Schizosaccharomyces pombe: one gene and its partner. The protein of the gene in region 1 purifies or fractionates together with the protein of each later gene. This does not show direct contact. Each region holds a gene or a part of one and is shown in the gene's direction. Other genes may lie near its edges.

Region 1 (3,756 bases):
GCCTTCCAAGAAGGAATTTATTGAAAAATCTCTGCACAAGTTATCTGAACCATTGCATGATGATTCTCGTCAAAATTCTGATCACAACTTTGCTCCGCATTCACGTCCGATTGCAATTCGTGTGGCCACAGCCTCTCAACGCGAACTTGAGCAAACTGAAAAGCGAAAAGCAAAAAATGGAGCAGCAAATGCTTCAAATATGGAAAGCCGCTCTTCTGAAAACGAAACTCATCGCTTCAAAAAGTTCTATGGTAAAGAACGAGAGTTATCAAACAACGAATTTCCAAGTCGTCAGACCAAAACTGTCACATCAGCCAATTCATCTAACATTAGGGATATGGAACATACTATTTCCGATAAACCTCGTTCTGAACCAGATGCTATACCATCAAGTAAAAGCATGCACTCAAATAAGCCATTTGAGGAAAAATCAGAAAAACCAACGACCAAAAGACTTGTTACTAACCCATCAAATGTGAATGCTTCATGGCATTCAAATATGTTAAAAAGACAAGAAGATTTACGAAAGAAGAAACCGTTAACCGACAACGGTGCAACTTCAAGGCATATGCTAAAATCTGGGTTAACACGCGTCACGTCGAAACCCACTCAAAGGTTTGCGAATGAGCTAGCTGAGGACATGTCATTGGCATTTCATTCAACTATTCCAAAAAAAATGGAGCCTGACTCAGTTACTTCTGTAACTCAGCCTTCTGTTGGTAGTTTGAGAAACAACTTCGATATAGGGACCACTAATAGTCAGAATGAAGATCGAAAAAAGAAGATAGCTGCACAAAAAAATAAGAATCCCGTACATGGTAATGTCGGTCTTACGAATCAACATGGATTCAAAACAATGCATCACAACGTCAACCCTTTTACTAAGCAGAATGGTATTATGAAAGGAAAGCTTCCATCTTCTAGTACTTCACAATCAAATAAACCTTTTATTGAAAAAGCTTCTATGCACGCTCCAGCTAAAGGTAGGAACTCGTCTATGCAGGAGCCCTCTTCTAAATCACCGTTACTGAAAACGCCTAAGTCGAATTATTTTCCTGGATATGGATCCCTATCGCCTAACACGTCTGTGGAATTACCAGAAATAAATAGCGATTATTCGGATGATTCAGATGATGAAGGTAATAAGAAAAAGGTAAATTTACCATCGTGGGCTGAATCACCTGAGTTACGAGAGCAATTAAAACGACAACAAAAGTGGGATCCAGACAAAATTTTCGGTATGATTAAACCTCTGCAAATGGATGAGTATTTCCGATCGAAGGATCGATCGAAGATTCGATTTCGACCAAGAAGCTCTTCTGCTGACTGGTCATCTCAAGATCGTTTGACCCAAGCAGAAATTGATAACTATAAGAAAAACATGGGTTTTTTATAGAGTTCTGGATTTTTGAAATGAATTTTGTATATTAAAGAACTGGGAAATTAATAGAGAAATACTTTAATTTATCTTATGAAACAATTTGCATAGAGTTAGATGACAAAATTAAATTAGATTAAAGGTTTTTGAATCTACTAATAACAATTATAATGAAATAGACCTCCATCTTAGACATTGAAGCATCGCTGATAATTAGTTTTTGTGCCGCAATAACATTAGCCATTAACAAACGTAGTTTGACATTGCCAGAAACTTAATCTACTTGTTCAAAGTTTTAATTTCTTTGAACGAAAAGAAACTGTGAAAGTACTTCTATCATCAATAGTTTAGCACAGTTTACATTGCTAGTTTTGGTTACACTAGACATTTACGTTCCACCATTTTAATAAAACTAGTGTAAAGCTTTTTTACCGTCTGGTTGGTTACTTTAAAAAAAAGAATTATTCTATTAAATGTGTGAACTAACGTAACCCGCACCTGAATAAATCATCCTAACGAAACATTAAGTCTATGGAAGAATATGAAGATTTTGAGATGGAAGATTTGAGCGAATTAGTCTCTTATATGGACTATCTTGAAACACAAAGATTGACTATTAGCCAATTGGATTATTCTTTGAGCATTCCACCACAATTGCTCGTAAGCAGGGAAATTTCTAAACTAGAGGACGAAGGTACGATATATTTCACTCAAGTCATGAACCAGACAAGCTAATAATCAACGTTCAGTTTGTGAAATGTTAAAAGAAAGTTCATTATTCCAACTGTTTCGAAAACACAAAGGTTATTTAAATGTAAGGTCTTTCTGAAGTTTGTGAATGATTTTTTATGGTTTTGTCAACAGATTTATAATAGCGGATTGAGACAATGCTATTCTTAGCATAATCATTTACAAGCATTAATCAATTGCATGTTTTTCATTTACTGACAGAACCTATTATTAGGTTACTGACCTTGTTTTACCTTTGTGGTGTGAAGTGCAACATGAATACTATTTATTGAGAAGAATTAAAAAAAAGACCCCGAAGATGGAACGCGGAATTAAGCTGCATCAAATACTTGAGTATGAAACCTCCCCTCCATCAGAACGTCGAGTGCTTGATCGGACATCCAAGGAGGAACCATGGGCATTACGATTATTAAGGCAATTAGAAGGTATTATGTTATTACAAAAAAATGGAATTACAAGAGAGTTTCCAATCTGGGGATATTACAAAGAGTCCTCAATTTTTGGCATTATTGATGAAATAAGTCTAAACAACCCTTCAAAAAGCAATTTTAATAGTGACATCCGCAATTACTTCAATTTCAAAATGTACGATTTAAGTTTTGTTGACAATAAAACTCGGTTTTCTTCCAGAAAGCCTGGAGCTTCACAAATTCTTAGTTCCAAAGTACAACTAATGTATTACGTTCATCTCTTTTTAAATTATTTCCCCTCTCTAGGAGAAAAACAACAAAGCATTTTTAGGGATATTTCTCCTACATATTCTAACAGACTTCATTCTCAAAGTCACTGGTGGAACATGTTTTTGAGCCAACTATCGCTGGACGGCACCAAGGACTTGGGGCCGAAATTTTTAGAGCAATCAATTCTTTCAATTCCCGATATTCCTGAAGATGTCTTTGCAGGTCATAACTCGCTAAATGGACTTTATGCACTCGTATTTGCTTCAGCTAAGAAGTTGCATTTACGTCTTACTGATGACAATCTTACCATTGTAAGTGACACAACCAATTAACTCGAAAATTATTTCGTTATCATTACAACTTTTAATTTTTTTTACGATGATTAGAATCCTTTTCGTAATATGATTGTCTGAACTATCGTTACTAACATCTTTTACTAGGCATACAGGAATGACAAAACAGGAGAAGTGGTATACAAAGACAAATTCTCTTTTAGCAATAAATTATTAGAAGCTTCCTATACTAAGGCTTATCAATTTTGGCACAATTTAAGGGAGCCTGAAGGCGTTCCTGCAGAGGAAGTCTACAAATGCCGAAGTTGTGAATTTCAGAAAGAATGTTGGTGGCTCAAAAAGAAACAGTATTACCCTCTTTCAAGTCCGTAATTGGGAATAATGACAGTTGAAAAGATTCCCAGAACATAGTTGGTCATTGGCATCCTATATGTTTAGCAACGATTTTCTTCCATCATATTTTGATAGGGCTGCTAGGTTGTTGAAGTCATCAACTTTTAATTTTTTTATCAATCTTTAAGAGGCAATTGAAATCATTTCTATGTAATCGATATAATTTGTGTTAAATCTCTATTTAAAAGAGCATGGTTTTTTTATTGCATTTTCTAGATCTCGGTGACGATGCAATTCTTTGGTAGCTTGTTTGTTTCTCTCC
Region 2 (3,756 bases), 2.6 Mb from region 1:
ATCGAGGAGACCGGTAAACTAGTTGCTAGTCCGAAGTCTCCCAACTTTAAGTTACCATCACGAGTTATAAGAACGTTGGAAGGCTTAACGTCTAAATGAACAAATTCTAAAAGATGAATGAAATTTAATGCCTATGTTCGGTTAGTGAATTCAAATGACGTGTCTGTGGAACGCGACTTTTAAATATGTAATAACTTACTTGAGTTAGTTGAAACAACATTTTCCACACGCGAAAAGGATCCATGACCTGCAATAATCCCAATTCGCTTAAAAATAAACTTAGGTCTCCGTTTTCACAATAATCTAATTGCAAAAATATATTATCATTGTAGCTCCAAACGTTCACTAGATTTACTACAAATGGACATGCTTGCAAGCGTTGCAAAATAGATACTTCCTGTAAGTGACGCTCTTTTCCTGTAAACTTGGCTGCATTTTTTTTTAACATTTTTACAACGTAAACCGTTTCAGTAGGTGGGTTGATCGAAGACACATGATATACAAATGAAAAATCACTCTCGTGTATCGGCTTAACTTGTTGGAATCGAATTCGAAGATCACTAGTCCAATCTTCCTCTTCTTCGTAATCATCTGCGCTGTTGATGTTTAAAAAAATTGGACTGGTAGGTGTCCAACTTAATGAAGAAGGTACGTCTTTCTCATCCCAGTTATTAACGTGGGAACTTGAAAGGAAAATAGGCTGACTCTTGCAAGGCGTTTCGCAAAATTCCAACAAGTCCTCTGAACCATAAGACAAAGAAGGAAGTTCTTCCATTTCAAACGTTTCATCCGAGCTGTCAGAGTTTGGATGATCCAACCGACTAAAAGTATCTAGGTCGATATGTTTACATTTGCGAGCTAAAAGAGAGGTAGTGGGTGACAGCGGAGATTGAGGTGGTTTTAATTTTATTTTCGTTCCCTTTTTACAAGGTGTATGAGGTTGTTCACTTCTTGGATTAGTCAAATTCCCTTCCCATAATGACCACTTTTCACGTTTTGATAACAGTCCTGTGCTTAAAGAAGTCACCGCCCTTTTTCGTTTTAAATCAATTGGCGTTGAAGCATCCACAATTTTTTTGGATAACTTCAAGCCGCTCGAAAATGCAAATGGTTTGCTACACCCATCGAGATCTGAATTCTTAAAAATTCCGTGGCGAACTGTAGTGGATAATCTGATGGCTTTTGCATTATTTTGCATAGGGGTATGTGGACTTCTTTTTGTATTGGAAGGTTTAAAGAATGTCAGTTTTGATGACTTATGGCTCTGATTTTCTTCATGGCCAGACGAAAAATTGTAAATGGGTTCATCGTAGAAATTTAATGGAGAATGCTCATTAAACGAAGAGGATATATTAAAAAAACATGGTGTTCGCGTTGGAGTAATTGGGATGGTGGTTGATGAATCCATCTTTAACTGAAACCTGAATGTAAATAAAGTTATATTTTTTTGCTTATTAGCTGTTAAAATCCCGTTTTCACTTTGATATCTCCGGTTTTCCTAAATAATAAATAATATGCAGATGATAATGTAGTTCAACTCTTCCAACAAAAGGAAAATCACAAAGGATTTATTTCCTTTTGTAGAGAATTAAATAACACTACTATTCTTTTCAGCTTTTAAGGGCTTTTCTATAGCAATGTGTTGTGCGCAAAGGATAACTTTGAAAGTAAACAACCATTGTTGACATGCACGTACACAAACAACACATCTTAAAGTTACGCGTAATATTAAAATGTGTTACGACGCGTCATGACGCGTTCGCGTTTTTCATTTGGGATAACGCGACGCGGCTTCGTTCTTTTGCCTTAAACCAACCACTAATTAAAAAAAAAAGAATTTGCAAACATGGCTGAGCGATTATCCGTGGGTGCACTTCGTATAATCAAGTAAGTTAACTGTCCAAATTATATACTCAAAAGATTTCGACAAATTGGGATGTTAACACGTTTCTTTAGTACATCCGATGCTTCGTCTTTTCCTCCTAATCCAATTCTCCAAGTCTTAACCGTGAAGGAGCTAAACTCAAATCCAACTTCTGGTGCTCCTAAAAGATATCGTGTTGTCCTTTCCGATTCAATCAATTATGCGCAATCTATGTTAAGCACCCAGCTGAACCATTTGGTTGCCGAAAATAAACTTCAAAAAGGAGCGTTCGTACAGCTTACCCAATTCACTGTAAACGTTATGAAAGAAAGAAAAATTTTGATTGTTCTTGGTTTGAATGTTTTAACTGAACTTGGCGTAATGGATAAAATTGGTAATCCCGCTGGTTTAGAAACAGTTGACGCTTTACGGCAGCAGCAAAATGAGCAAAACAATGCTAGCGCACCACGAACAGGTATTTCGACAAGCACTAACTCATTTTATGGAAACAATGCTGCAGCTACAGCACCGGCTCCACCTCCCATGATGAAGAAGCCAGCAGCGCCGAATAGCCTTAGCACAATAATCTACCCAATTGAAGGTCTCTCTCCATATCAGAATAAATGGACTATTCGTGCCCGTGTTACTAACAAATCTGAGGTTAAACATTGGCATAATCAACGAGGTGAAGGAAAGCTTTTTAGCGTAAATTTACTCGATGAAAGTGGGGAGATTCGTGCAACAGGCTTTAATGACCAGGTTGATGCTTTTTATGATATCTTACAGGAAGGTTCGGTTTATTATATATCTCGTTGTCGTGTGAACATTGCAAAAAAACAATATACCAATGTTCAAAACGAGTATGAGCTGATGTTTGAACGTGATACTGAAATAAGGAAAGCTGAGGATCAAACTGCCGTCCCCGTTGCGAAGTTTAGTTTTGTTTCTCTACAAGAAGTCGGCGATGTTGCCAAAGATGCTGTTATCGATGTAATTGGTGTACTCCAAAACGTTGGACCAGTTCAACAAATTACCAGTCGTGCAACTTCTCGTGGATTTGACAAGCGTGATATCACTATCGTTGACCAAACAGGATATGAAATGCGTGTTACGCTTTGGGGAAAGACAGCTATTGAATTCTCTGTTTCTGAAGAAAGTATTCTCGCTTTCAAAGGAGTTAAAGTTAATGACTTTCAAGGACGCTCTTTGTCAATGTTAACTAGCAGCACCATGTCGGTAGATCCAGATATCCAGGAATCTCATTTGTTAAAAGGTTGGTATGATGGACAGGGTAGAGGGCAGGAATTTGCCAAACATAGCGTAATTTCATCTACTTTATCTACTACTGGAAGGAGTGCTGAACGTAAAAATATTGCTGAGGTTCAAGCCGAACATCTGGGAATGTCAGAAACACCCGATTATTTTAGCTTAAAGGGCACCATTGTTTACATTCGAAAGAAAAACGTGTCATATCCTGCTTGCCCTGCTGCTGATTGCAACAAAAAGGTTTTTGATCAAGGTGGCTCCTGGCGATGTGAGAAATGTAATAAAGAATATGATGCTCCTCAATACCGTTATATTATAACTATTGCTGTAGGTGATCATACGGGACAACTCTGGCTCAACGTCTTTGACGACGTCGGTAAATTAATCATGCATAAAACGGCAGACGAATTGAATGATCTACAAGAAAACGACGAAAATGCCTTTATGAATTGTATGGCAGAAGCTTGCTATATGCCATATATCTTTCAATGTCGTGCTAAGCAAGACAATTTTAAAGGTGAAATGCGAGTACGCTATACAGTGATGTCAATTAATCAAATGGACTGGAAGGAAGAGTCTAAAAGATTGATAAATTTCATTGAGTCTGCTCAATAAAACATTGTGTT

The links. Proteins that work in one complex are often made in the same cells at the same time.
Region 2: the proteins of exo5 (region 1) and ssb1 purify together in Schizosaccharomyces pombe (co-purification; one study listed by BioGRID). This does not show direct contact.

What each region holds. Positions count from the first base shown.
Region 1 is NC_003423.3:2,770,975-2,774,730, forward strand, and holds exo5 (single-strand DNA-specific 5'-3' exodeoxyribonuclease Exo5), read left to right. Parts: upstream 1-1,878; 5' UTR 1,879-1,909; coding exon 1,910-2,072; exon of another isoform or gene 2,073-2,127; coding exon 2,128-2,192; exon of another isoform or gene 2,193-2,342; coding exon 2,343-3,119; intron 3,120-3,248; coding exon 3,249-3,473; downstream 3,474-3,756. Other genes in the region: INCENP-like protein Pic1, read left to right, coding at 1-1,396; SPOM_SPBC685.03 (uncharacterized protein), read left to right, coding at 3,723-3,756.
Region 2 is NC_003423.3:219,351-223,106, reverse strand, and holds the start of ssb1 (DNA replication factor A subunit Ssb1), read left to right. Parts: upstream 1-1,808; 5' UTR 1,809-1,846; coding exon 1,847-1,887; intron 1,888-1,956; coding exon 1,957-3,745; 3' UTR 3,746-3,756. Other genes in the region: M phase inhibitor protein kinase Mik1, read right to left, coding at 1-131, 200-1,408. UniProt on the Schizosaccharomyces pombe protein: As part of the replication protein A (RPA/RP-A), a single-stranded DNA-binding heterotrimeric complex, may play an essential role in DNA replication, recombination and repair.